Caenorhabditis elegans: one gene and its partner. The protein of the gene in region 2 purifies or fractionates together with the protein of the main gene of each other region. This does not show direct contact. Each region holds a gene or a part of one and is shown on either strand. Other genes may lie near its edges. The genes, in order: lbp-4 and hrg-7.

The links.
Region 1: the proteins of hrg-7 (region 2) and lbp-4 fractionate together in Caenorhabditis elegans (co-fractionation; one large-scale study listed by BioGRID). This does not show direct contact.

Annotation. Positions count from the first base shown.
Region 1 is NC_003283.11:7,817,775-7,824,120, forward strand, and holds lbp-4 (Fatty acid-binding protein homolog 4), read left to right. Parts: upstream 1-2,803; 5' UTR 2,804-2,812; coding exon 2,813-2,970; intron 2,971-3,226; coding exon 3,227-3,329; intron 3,330-3,380; coding exon 3,381-3,557; 3' UTR 3,558-3,703; downstream 3,704-6,346.
Region 2 is NC_003283.11:12,738,871-12,746,545, reverse strand, and holds hrg-7 (Aspartic protease 10), read right to left. Parts: upstream 4,506-7,675; 5' UTR 4,477-4,505; coding exon 4,406-4,476; intron 4,364-4,405; coding exon 4,084-4,363; intron 4,037-4,083; coding exon 3,960-4,036; intron 3,915-3,959; coding exon 3,779-3,914; intron 3,661-3,778; coding exon 3,329-3,660; intron 3,278-3,328; coding exon 3,164-3,277; intron 2,716-3,163; coding exon 2,439-2,715; 3' UTR 2,375-2,438; downstream 1-2,374. Other genes in the region: C15C8.4 (Alpha-2-macroglobulin RAP C-terminal domain-containing protein), read left to right, coding at 837-1,001; C15C8.7 (uncharacterized protein), read left to right, coding at 1,496-1,619, 2,006-2,106; PAS domain-containing protein cky-1, read right to left, coding at 5,562-6,131, 6,182-6,407, 6,847-7,012, 7,061-7,167, 7,219-7,433, 7,552-7,675. UniProt on the Caenorhabditis elegans protein: Aspartic protease which plays a role in heme homeostasis and mediates inter-organ signaling between the intestine and extra-intestinal tissues when cellular heme levels are low.

The DNA of each region.
Region 1 (6,346 bases), 4.9 Mb from region 2:
AAGTTTGAAAATCACCAAGATTTTTTGTGTGTTTTTATTTGTGTTTTTTTGTGAAACAATTTCATACTAAACATGCCCAAATTTCAATAAACAAATTCAATTTTTGGCCATCACGTTGTAAAAATTTAGTAATATTTTTTTGAATTTTAGCCTTTATCTACTTGCAAAAAAAATCAACGACCGAGCTCTAAACAGACTTGTGTTTCCTTTTTTTAAATTATTACGTTGAAAAACTTCACAAATTCAGTTTATTAACAAGTTGCAAGTTTAGCTTTTTAAAAAAAATTGAATGCCGTTACTTATAAAAATAATTCTAGCAATTTTTTGATCTTTTTAGAAGTTTACAAAATTCTAGTTTTTTTTCATCCAAAATTGTTCCTATAATTAAATCCCAAGAAGCCCTTTAAAAATTACATCAATGTTTCGAAGAACTTTTCTCTTCCGGGTACACTTTTCTTTTTGATATTTAGCAAAAATTTGAAAATACCAGATCATTTCCAAGGTACAAGTTTCAAACTTTCGCGCCAAAATTTGATGTATTTCCTGAAAAAAAAACAGCAACCTAATAGATCAGAGCAGAGTTTTCTTTTTCAACTAAACGGTGTCCCATTGTTCTCACTAAGCCAGTGAGCTTTCATCTAAAATTCCAAAGAAGTGAATATTTTATGTGTTGAGTGACAAATACCAAAAAATTCGAAATTTCAAAGCAAAAGAGATATTGGAAAAGAAAAAAGAAGAGTTTTCCGTGTTTTTGTCAAACGACATCTACTTCATAAATGCCCCATCCGTGGGGAAGAAATTGAGAAGAAGAAAAAAGAGAAAAAGCGATGAATGAATGGAAAATATTAATGATGAATATGAGAAAAACAACTGAAATTATTATTTTTTGTTTTTTGGGGTGAACGTAGGAAATTTGTTATAATATTGAATATTTCAATTACCAAATCAGGAAGTATACAATTTTTTACAAGGAGAAATTATTGGAAATGAGAAACCTCGACAGTCTCTTAAAGTAAGAACTTTTGTTAATTTTCTAATTAACCGTACTTGGTTTTTTCAAAAGTACTGAAATTCTGAAGAAATTAAGCCTTATGAAAAGTCTGAAAAGGGATTTTGGAAACAATTACTTTTTTCAGCATTGGGAAAACGGAGAAAAAAACTCATTTTTGAGAATTTTTAGGGTGGCCGAATTTTCTTTTTTTTTCTTCTAGGCTACGCCTTGGTACTAAAAATTCTATCCGAACATAAAAGGAGCAATACAGTTTTAAACTGAAAAGAAATCACGTGGCAATACACGTCATAAAACATAACGACTACAAAACTAAAAGTTTATGCAGTCTTCGCTTGCTTCTCGAAAAACTTGTTATGGAAATGAAATTTGATATCTTCATGCTTTACTAACTAGCTTCTGTGAAGTAGGGAAGAAGATCAGTGAGTGGAATTATATATTCTATGAATCTTTCCATTTTGTTAGGGCAGCGCGGGAATTAGAGCAAACTTTCTCGATTATTTAAAATTTTATTTAAAAAACAAAGTTACTAGTTTAAATATCGTATTTCCTCTATTTGTATTGCATCCCATTGTTCAACTTTGACAACTTAAATATCAGTTATTGTTTGTTCTATTCAAAAATTGTCAACTAACAAAATATTTGTTAGATCTTTTTCTGTCATTTCGTAGTTAATAATATATACTACATCTTTTGAAAGAATTGAGTTATAACGTTTCAAAGTTGAGTAGTAGAGTGCAATACTAATAGAGGAAATACGATATTTATATTATTGCTCAACAATAGCGATTTTCGTAAATATTTTTGCAACACAGCGTTCGCACAAATTATTTTGAGTTCGCGTGATCTTTAAAATAAAACAAGGCAGCAAAACATAAAATCTTCAAACACAAGAGATGCTCTTTTCATCTTCCTGAAATGAGGGAGCTCAAAGAAAAAGAAAACCCGAAAAGTTGTGAATAGCTCCGCCCCGCCTATCTGCGTCTCTGCTTTTTCGGCATTTGATCATTTCGAAAAGTCTGACCAATCTGATTAAAGTATGTATGTGTGTTTGCACTAAAGGCGGCTTTTCTATGGCTCTCGCCTCATAACATTCATCCCATCTTAATTTTTGCAGCTGAAAAATGGGCAAATAGAAGCGGAAAGTAGGAAAAAAGGCGCCAAAATAAGCAAATGAATGACGGAAAAACGGAGAGAATATTTGGCGAGGTGCCAAGCGAGCTCCTACGTGTCAACTTCGATTATACCTCTGTTTTTCGTTGATTTTCCGTGTTTATTGAGTGCCCACAGGAAAACAAAAACGCATACTCGTGAATAAATAAGACATGAAACGAATGTGGCATGTGGAAATGGAGATTTTTTTGGGAATATAAATCTGGAATTTCAGCTGAACTTTTCATTATCTAGTTCATTTGCAAGTATATTTTTTATTTTGCAGTTTATTTTCATCTTCTACTAATAATAGTTTAAATGGGTCGCATTTTATGGTCTTGGCACGAACGCTAAATTAAGAAAAATACAGAACAGTTGACTTAAGAAAGGGAAATGGCGATTTTTCTTTTCTAAAATCGTTAGTTCCATTTCAAAATTGACCTGAACTTTATTTTCACTTATAAAATTTTCACAAATATGTTTCCTCGGAATCTATTTTCCATTAGTCTGTGGTGACTTAATACAGACGCAATCGCGCTCCACCGACACCTAATTATTGTTACCGTTCAATTTAATTCGTTCTTTCATTTATTTCAATTTTTTCCCCGTTTATTTAATTTGCATCATTAAAAAAGTTTTCAGAAAAGGAAAATGTCAGTGCCAGACAAGTTCTTTGGCCGTTATCAGCTCGATAAAAGCGAGAATTTTGATGAATTTCTCTCCTCGAAAGGTGTCAACTGGTTCGTACGGCAAATGATCAAGTTGGCTGGACTCACTAAAATTATCTCACAAAATCAAGAAGCTGGGAAGTGAGTTCAATTAATAATTTTTTTTAACTGAAAATAACCATAACTTTTTATCTGGTGAAAAACTTTTTTAACGAAATTTTTAATTTTTAGAATTTACAACTGTCAACTCTAAAATTGGAAATACGTGAAATTTTTAAAATAAATATGTCACATGCTTCTTTGGCATTTCCAAGTGGTGGAGGAAATCTTTGTCATAAATTTTTCATGTTTTCGTCTAGAGACCACGAAAACATTCAGTTCATCTTGCCTATTCCAGGTACAACATGGAAAATCTAACTTCAAAAAAGAACACCAACTATCAGGCATGGGAACTTGGAAAAAAATTCGAAGCTCCTGGATTGGATGGAAATCAACATGAGGTGAGAACGAAAATTATTTAAATAATTAATTAAAACAATTTCCAATTTCAGATCACTTTCGACTTCAAAGATGAAATCCTTTCGGAGCATCATATTCGCCTGAATGAACCAGAAACCAGCGCAGAGACTTATTTCTACACTATCGACGATCAAAATCAACTGGTGATGAGAATGGAGAATAATGGAATCGTCTGTCGCCGTTGGTTCAAGAGAGTCGAGCAGAAGTGATCTGAATGTTGATTTGATGCTTCTCTGTTAATAGTTAAACCTTATTTATATTATTGTGATTATTTATTGCTGTGCCTTTTTTGTTAATTTTACATTGAGGGTTTGCATAATTGTTTAAGTTTTTGATGAAAAGTTTCAGCTGTTCCTTCTGTGGTTTTGCACTCAACACTTTAAAAAGCAGATGTTCAGAAATGATGTCATTGAAATTGAATGTGGCGTGTTCTTGAATGTTTACCGCAACAAACGGATCAACTTTTCTGGCAAAGTGCCAGCCGTCTCCGATCGCCAGACAGGCTTTACGATGTGAGATGCGCGCACTTTTTGTGTTGACCCGGTCAACTGTGGTTACACTCGGAACACAATTCTGATTACACTTGAAAAACGAAATTGAACAAAAAATATAGAAAATAATCAAAATCAGAACATTATCTGTTTTTGAAATAATTAATCACGGCAAAAGTTCGCAGAAAAACGTCCTTGACGAAAATATTGCGAATTTAAATTTTTTTAAAAAGCTAGAATACGGTACCCGGTCTAGGCACGAAATATTTTTGTTAAATCCAAAAAGATGTGCGCCTTCGAAGAGTACTGTAATTTCGAACTTGTTGCTACGGAATTTTCATCGATTTTTAATAGTTTTTCGATAAAATAGTTATTTATTTACTTATCAAATACTGAAATATAATAATATCATCATATGATGAGTGAAAAATTATGAAAAATCGGTACAAATTCCGCTTAAATAAATGTTTAGGAATTACAGTACTCTTCACATTTTACAAAAATTAGCCGTGTCGAGACCGCGTACCTTTTTTGACACAAAATCACACAATTTCTGGGCATAAGAATATTTTCAGAATATTTTCAGAGTTTTGTCAATATATTATGGTATTTGAAAATTTTAAATTTATTAACAAAATATAAAAACCACGTACAATATTTACCTAGAAACACAAAAAATCGATAATTCAATGACGAAAATTATCAAGAAAATCTACCGTATTCGCGCCTACGGTAGAAAGTATCGGTCGTCGCAGGACCTCGACCATATTTCTATATTTTCTTGAAGGTTTCCGGGTTTTTAAAGGTCACAAATTTGAAAACAACCATTTTCAGTTTATCAGAGTATTTCAGAATTTCTCCGGCAGGATTATTGATCAAATTTTCTGAACCACCGATTTTTCGTTTGTTTATTTTAAATCAACAAAAGTCTTCTGGAACAATCTCAAGACGCCAATGACCCCCCTCCCTCTCACTTTTTTTGTGTTTCTATTTTTCGATGAATTGTCGACTTTGTGTGGCATCCAAAGACACCAAGTGGCCCTGTGTTGCAAAAAGAAAGTCCATCCTTCTGGCGGACGAGAGGAGACTTACAACTTCTTTCCATCCTCTCCTTCCTCATTAATCTGCGAAAGGTTGGTGAGGGGATTTTGGGCCGCCTGCTCGCGCCTGTCACCTCCATAAATAATTGCGATCTCTCTTGTTGCTCCTCTGGTATCTGTCTTCATCTACTTCATTCACACTGACTCATCATTCCGCCACGTTGGAATGTGATTGGAAAAGTGATAGCTGCTGATGTGAAGAGCAAGAAGAGACGAAATGACACGTGTAACTCATTGAAATGCTCATTCGAATGTGCTCTTGCTGTTGTGACACTTTTTGATAAATGCGATTGATGGCGGTTTTGATTTCAAAACATATGTGTGAGTAGTGCTGAAGAATTCTTTGATCTTTCAGAAGATTTCGTAGAACAATTTGGAAAATTTCCTCTGATCATCCGGTTTTATCCGGTTTTTACTTTATAGGTTGCATTTATCGCCTGGTTGCAAAAAAAAACAATTTTTCCAGGTCCTAGAACGAGAGACAATTTTCAGATACCGTACGCTCGATTTTGTCGAAATTTCTATAATTGTTTCAATAAACATCTAGATATTCAATGTAAAAAGCATCAAAATAGTGAACAAAAAATCTAGGAAAAAAAAACTGTAGCTAAAATAAATTAATGGTTTTTAAATATTATTTGGAAAAACATACTACATCGGTAGGTTCATCTTTGCAATTTTTAAAGCTAACTATTATCTCCACTTCTGTTCAAATGCATATTAGCTTCAGGGCTCCAATTCCTACAAGACTTCGCAGTTACTCGAAAGAATTTTCAGAAAACTTTTAGAGATTTTTTCTGGTCATTTTTGTGCCTCATTTTCCAAGTTTGCTTCTTTCAACTGGTTTTACGCAACCCTAGATATGCATGTATTAGGACTACAAGATTTAGTTACTTTATTTCCTAATGTGGCTCAATAACTATTTTTTTACCAGATTTAGAAGTTGGAAAACTTGAACAATAGTTGGGCAAGACTTTTTTTTAATCATAGCTCTAGTTTGATCTTCTTTCCTTATCCCTGTACGTGTTGAAAGAAATTTAATCAGGTGAAAATAAACATAAACAAATTGAAGTTTTGGTAAAAACGATTCAACATGTTGTGAGAACGGTGAAATTTGATTTGTGATTTATTCATGATTAATTTTTTTAAGAATCAAAAATCAAATTTTTTGCCAAAAAGATGTTCAAGAAGTAAATCGCGATCTAAATAAAGTGTTGCCTTTTCAAATCAAAGCATTTCAAATTTCCGAAAGAAGTTTATATTTTTCGGGCCTAATTTGGGCAAGTAGTTTCTGCCACTGCTGATAATTTTCCTATAGTCTTCAAAGAGACGTTCTTCACTTTCAGGAAAAATCTAAATCTAAATCTTCAACACGGTCCACTCTAGAAACGACAAAGTTACAAGAAC
Region 2 (7,675 bases):
TAAAAATGTGGGATTTTGCTCTAAATTATAGAAAATAGGTGGGAATGACCGAAGATAACTGCAAAAAATATTTGAAAAATTTGTAAGTTTTTAATGATTTTTTTCTCCATTTTACAAAAATAAAAAGGGCTGATTATTTTTTAATTAATTACCCAGATTCAACATTTTCTCGTTTTCTGGCAAAGCTCATGGGTTTTTCTTGATTTTTTGAAAATATTAATGTGGTTTGTCAATTTATAAAACGTTATTTTCGTTTAAAAAAATTTAATGCCCGAAAGACATTCGCTGAAACTTCAAAATAAACGATATTTCACATAAACATTTTTTTGGAAAACCTGTCTGAAAAATTGGCAAACGTATTTCAAACTTAATTTTAAAGAGCAAAATCAAGAAAAATCCCGAAAATGTTTAATTTTGGTCATTCGCTTTCGCAGGAATTCAAAAATTATTTTCTTTTTATAAAATTTTTGCGAAATTGAAAAAATTTATTAATGGTTACATTTGGCCATTCCAGACCATTTTCTATAATCTGAATTTCTTAACGATATGAATAGTTCTAAGGAATTAATCAGTCAAATTTTCACCCCTCTTCCAAAATAAACTTTTATGCCAAGACTGATAACGTAGTCATTTTTGATTCGTCCTCAAAATTGTTTATCGACCTAAAATCAAACTGTTTAATTCCATATTTTACTGTTTTCCTATTGGGTTTTTAATCAAAAACACAATATTATAACAAAGGAAAAACAAATAAACACTGAAAAAATAATAACGTTCTCAAAATTCCTCGTTGATTAAAAAATTGCAATCGAAAATTTAATTCAATTTCTATTCAGGAGGAAGTATCTCGCCTTCAAGAAGATGCAGAAGAACGTGGAAAGGATAAATCTCAAGTTTATGAAAACTTGGAGCTAAGTATCAAACATGAAAAACTGAATCGAAAAGCGCGGAAACTCGAAAAATATATAGAAGAGAAAATAATTATCCATAGAGAACTCTAGAAACCCTTGTGATTCTTCATGCAATCTAATCATGTCACCTATCGTATCATATCATAATGAGAGCTCATTTCTACCTGCATTTTTGGCCATAATAATGATAATTACAGACGTCGTTTGATTTTATAATTCTTCTATTTTTCTCCATTGTTCTTCTCTTGTCACGTGTATATTTTGTTCGTAAGCTACTTCAGATTGTGATAATTTTGTACTTTCGGTCTTTTTTTGTATTTCAATTGTGATAGAATTCATGGTGCTGTATCTAATTTTATTGTGATCATCTGAAACCCTCCAGCACCCAACCCCGCCCCCAAGGTTATACGTATAAAAATCTTGAAAAGTATGTGATATCAGTGCTCCATTTATTTGTTCTCTTCATGCGTTATCATTAAGCAGACGCCTTTCCAATATCTTATTCTTATCACTTTCATTTTTTAAACATTTTCATGTTGCCATCTGTTGTGTGCCTTCTTCTTTTTTGAAAATCAAATTTCCAGATGTTCGATCGTCTTCTGTCGCAATTCGGCCGTAAGCGTGTCGCTTCGGAAAGTGTTGCCACTCAACAACAGCTCACTGACAGAACCAACGTCTACACGGTTAAACCACAAGATCCACTTCTTGGTAAGCTCAATTTTTTTTTCATTAAAACTATTTTCAAAAAACTACAGTAATCATTAGAGTTACCGAAATCTAAGACTATTCTTTTTTAAATCCGAAATAGCCAAAAACTACCAAATTTCGTAATAAGACATTCTGGGAATTTCTGGAAAAAATTAATGGCAGTTTAATATTTTGGAAAAAATACTCATTTTCACCAAAAATCTCAAATTTACCAAATATTCATAGGTTTTTTTCTACTTCTTTTATAGGTGGGTTCTCCATCATTTCGAAAATTAATTTTACAAGATAGTATTTCAAAAAGTGTGTCACCAATTGGTGAATAAAAAGTTCAAATTTAAAAAAAATTATGGTTTTATTAGAAATTCTAATAATGTATTTGTTTTCAGACAAGAAGCAAAAGATGACACCGGTGCAAAAAGTGTGTCTAAAGTGCCTTGCTGGTGAGAGTGGCCACATCACACATGTTCTCTCCAGTCTCTCGAATTGAGAGCTCAAAAATTCAATCTGTATCATTTTATTACTTTTTCACTTTTCTTTTCTTTGCTAAGTGTTAATTTATCTATGTTGTTTTTATCTCTTTCCCAAAGAGCATTATCTTGTTGTTTTCATTTTCCATCTTAATTGGCAAACCATTTGTACATATGTACTTGTATTTCAAATCCCCGTTTCCCTCCATTCTTCATATGCAGTAAGTACAACTACCACCATAATTTCGAAAATGTTTCGAAAAATTATTTCATTTCAAAATAAATTGTTTTGATTGTAAAGTTTTTATTAAATTTTAGAATTTATTATTCGTTGATGTGAGATTCATTGGATTTAGAGAACCTTTGCAAGGCCAAGTCTTCCGCTCTTCATGTCATGTACGTGGCAATAGGCACGCATAAAAGGTGGTCCGAGCATCCAAGCTGGATAGAATCCTCCAGCAGTTAACTCATAAAATGCAAACATGCATGGCCCAGGTCCAGCAGATACAACGAATGATGTTGATGGCATATTATATGTTTTTCCGTTAATTGTGAATACAATATCTGGGACAACAGCGTCACAATCCATGAAGAATGCACCCGTAAGTGGAACATATGTGGCTCCAACTCTGAAATGATATTTATATAAATTTTAACAGTTTTTCACACAACGCATTATTTTATTTATGAAATAGTGCAAATTCTCACTGAATAACTATTTTTTGAAAATCTACAGTAACCCAGAACGGGCTTCGTGCTAAAAGTTTTATGATAAATTCCAACTTTTTATGTACACTTCAGGCTTTGAAATTTTGTAAATTTCATTTTCAACACAAAGAAAACAAATAGTTTAAATTTGGCACACTATCACTGAGATCGTGGCGAGACCCACTCAAAAAAACAGCTTGCACCTTTAAACTGAAATGTCAAATTTTCGCGAAATCACAATATCTAATAACTGTAAAGTTCTCTGAAAAAATCAGATGCGTAAATTAATACGGCCGTGACTAAATTTGTTGGGGCAAAGCTATAGGATTTAGAGATACTAAACGGTCTACAGCGTATTGCTAAACTCACGCCTTGGCAAGACTGGTAACAACACTCTTTGGTGCTCCGATGAATGATGCAGCTGTATCAGCAGCTGCTTGCCATCCAGAGTTTGGAGCTTGACTGTATGACCCAGATGATACTCTGGAAAAGTAATTAAGATAGTTTTGTTTATCAAGGTAAAAAATATCTTACCCTCCGAGCTTAAACTGCCAGAAAGTTTGAGTGGATAGTGGAACCCAGTCGACATTAGAACTACAATGAGTTGTATCGAGACCTCCAACGGTGAATGCTCCTCCATTGATTTGGGAAGTTGGACCAATGTTGGCAAGATATACGACAAAGTATGGTTGATCAAGTTTTCCTTGATTCATCAAATTGAACAATGGTGGAGTTTGTTGGTTTACGGCTAGAGCAGGCCATCCAAGACCAATGATTCCATCTTCTGGTTGTTTTGCAAAAGCTTCTCCGATTGTGGTGGCTTGTCCGAAAACTTGGCCAGTGGCACAGACGGATGTGTTAGTGAACTAAAATATCGTTGATTTGGGGAGTGGAAAATGAATAAATTCAAATTGACGAGAGAGAGAGAGAGAGAGAGAGAGAGAGAGAGAGAAATCTAAAACAATCTAAAAAGAGAAAACTTACACAGAAAGTATCAACTCCAAAGAATCCCTTCACTTCTCCAGTGTTATAAGTCATATCAAACTTTTGTCCATTGGTCACATATGATGATGAGAGAGATGAATTGAACCGATGCTTAGACTGGCAAGCGTCAGTGGTTCTGCAAAATACCTAATGCTATAGCTGAACAGAGAATGATGCATACGAAAGAACTTTAACTCCTTCAACGGTTTTGGTACAGCATTCCTCTTGACAGAAAGTCAAACAAGCATCATATGGAGTCTGAAATATTGGATAATGCATTCGATTCTTTGAGTTATTAAACTCACAGATTTACAGTAACTTCCACAAGTGGCATCTTTTCCTCCAGCACATGTGATATCTGGGACCCACAAGTTAGAAGAACCAGAATCGATAAAAAGAACAAAGTTCTGAGCTGGGCTTCCTAAACTAATTTGAACCATGTATGCCATATCCTCATAATCAATAACTGGGGACGAGGATGATGCCAATTGAAGGCTCTTCTTTGACAGAAGTTCGTTGCGTTCCTTTTCATATTCTGCCAATTTTCCTTTGGCATTCATACGTTGACGCATGTTTGGTCGGTATCTAATAATGGAAAATTGAGCTCAATTAATCAGTAAAACTTACCCAATATTAAATTGGTGGACTTCTGCAGAGACCACAGTCAAGAGAGCTAACAATGCAATAAACGTCTTCATGGCTTCCAACTTTTTTCCCCTAATTTAACCTGTAAATGTATTATATAGCTTGAATTAATTGAAACTGGTTGACGAAAACAAAACTGCAGCGAAAAATTAAATGGAAAACTCACTTCTTTTCGGCACTATCAGTTCGGCATTGGAATATATAGTATGAGATAGGAGGAGCAGACATATGATGCAACTAATGACTATCATATTATGTCTCTTATGGGCGGCTTGATGTTGAAGTTCGCCGATTTCTTTTCAGAATTGAACCCGGATTGATAAACTGTGCTTTGTGATTCGTTGAAGTTTGTCATGTTTTTGTTGTGTTTAGCACAATTTTGTCAGTTTTAATGCTTTTATTTATGTACGCAATTATTCGAACAAGGAATGGTAGTCAAGGTAGTCTCAAACGTCAAAACGAATTGAATATCATCTGAAACTAACTTTAATTTAGGCTAGCTTACCACACACATTTAGAGCAGATCTTACCTCGGATTCCTTCAAAGTTCTGACCCGAAAATTCTCAACCAAAAATGGTGCCGATTTGTCAAGTTTTAAAATTACTTCAAAATAATCTATTGGTGCCGAAGGATAATAAACATAAGTGGCCTGCTTTTTTTTAAAAGGAGCTTGGATTCCATAAAAAAAATGAACTGAAAAAAATTCAGATCATCATTTGAAAGGTTCGTTTGACCGTTGGAAATATTTTTTTGTCTCTAGATAAAATCATACGTTTTTACTGCAATACAACTTATTTCGAAGGCTATTTTGACGAGAATTATTTGATTGATTAAACCTGGAGACTAAAATTCAATAAATAATTATTTTTGAAGTATTGTAAATTTTTTCAGTAATGCTTTATCTTGTGGAATAAAAAACAATAAAATATTTATTAAAACTTACAAAGAGGAGAATTATAAAATTGAAAGAATGATATAGTCAATATGTGAAAGCTCTTGTAAATCTACCCGGATAAATACTGATAATGAATGAAAATGAAAGACATCAATTGAAAAGTCTATAATGGAAATAAATATAAGAGATAAATTTGAGTAATGGAATGAAATGAGATACTAGAGTACTAATTTTCAATTATTTTATACAGCCCAACTTCGTTTTCGGTTGTAATAATCAAAATGGTAAGGATGCGGAGGTTGGGAATGATGTAGGTGTTGATTGAGATGTTGATGATGGAATAGAAAGTTTGATTGTCCGTAATTTGATGGAGGACATGACATGGGAGGAATTGGAGTCATTTGAAGAGGATGATTCGGTTGGGATTGATGCTGTTGTTGGAGGTGGTGTTGATGTTGCATTGCAAAATTTCCATCAAATAGTGCTGGTCCTAGATATTTGTACAATTCGGCGGAATCAAATGCATTTGGCATAGAATGACGATGACCAAAATTAACATTTGAAGGAAATGAATGAGCTGGGGATGTTGCTGGAGATTGCTCAACTTGCCGAAGAATTTCGTCCACTTCATCTTTAAGCTCTGGGAGCACGTCATTTGAAGGTAAAATGTCTTCAAGAATGTCTAATGGGAATGCATTATGATGAGGAAGTAAAGATGTATGAAGGGATGCAGAACTCTCCGGTGATGATGACTCGGGGGTAAATAATGGAATTTGAGTATTGATTGGACGCATTGGAATTTCCACTTTTATCTGAAAGTTCATAAAGTTAAAATTAAATCGAAGTTTTACGTTCTAATCACCTGATTGTAATCCAATGACGGAAAACCTGGTGCGATTCCTGCTCCAATAAGAGGCTTCTGCTCAACGAGCATTGGCGGCTGCTCAGTGAATGGTGGAGTTTGCGGACTTGATGGTTGTTGTTCTTCGGATGGTGGTGGAGAATCTTGACATGAAAAAACTGTTGGGTAAGTGTGTCGCATGCTGTAGATCCAGGAATTCGCTTGAAGAGTCGCAGCTTCCAGATCACTGAAAAATTTAATTGTAGGGTCTAGCTTGGAGTTACGGAATATTTGTAAATCTTTGAAGGAGCTTTTCTGTAAATACTCTAATAATCATGTAACTTAACCCACTCAATATAATACTAATAACCTTCAAATCATATTAAATTTTAGAGACATTTCTGCCGAAGTTTTGGTAATATTCCAAATTTTGAGCAGTTTAGAACGATCTCGAATGTTTGAGATGTCTATGTACAACGTTTACAACATAATAGATAAAGCATAATTATAAAAATACGAAATCTTAGAAAAAATTGTTCTTAAGGATTTCCAAAGTTATGAGTGTATAGAACTCATAGTAAATAGAAAAGTAAAAAAAAACATATTTTTTTTACATTTTTGTTGATATGTGGAGTGGTTTTGGACGGGAAAAAGTCTTAAACTATTTTCGCGTTCATAAAACTTACGTAAGTTTCTGATGGAAGCAGTGTATAACATGACGAAGTCTTTTTCCATCACTATTCAACTCATTATTTGGTCGAATTGAGAATACTGTATGCAACCATATCCATTCTCCATTTGCAGCTTGTAATCGAATTAATGCAAGAACTGACCCTTCTTTCTCTTGACATACTGAAAAAAATTATGTAAAAGTATTTCACACAGTATCTTAAAACATACATAATCGATGTTTATGAGCAATTTCGGGTACATGATTAGGATGAATCATTCCGTACCAAGACATTCCTTTCAATTGCTCTTTACTGAATCCCAAATGTTGAGAGGCCCTGAAATTGATCAATAATAAAATTCAAGTTTTTAACATTTTTCATGCTTACATTGTATCGGCTTCCTTAAATTTCATATCCAAATAATGTTGAGTACTAAACACATGTGTATTTCCAGTGGACATTCCTTCAGCATTTTCTGGATTTATAAGAGGTTGACAATAAGCCGAGAAAACTGGCTGATCACAATCAGGTTGAGAGTTTTGAGCATTCAATTGTTGATAAAATTCGGCAGGTTGAATATATCGACCTTGGAATAGGACGAACTGAAAATCCCAATTTTTGCTTTGAAATAACATATTTTTGGCATTTGGCATGTCCCCAATGCAAAGTTAGCATGACTTCGAAAAAAATGATAGTATTCTAAATGAAGTTAATTCTTACTTTATGATACTGTAACTGTCGTTTTGCAGTTCTTGCCAAATTCAATCGACATATGAATACTCTTTCCTCCGGAAAAGTTGCAGCTCCTGGAGGTCCACTTGCAAGTTCTGCCTGTACAGCACCA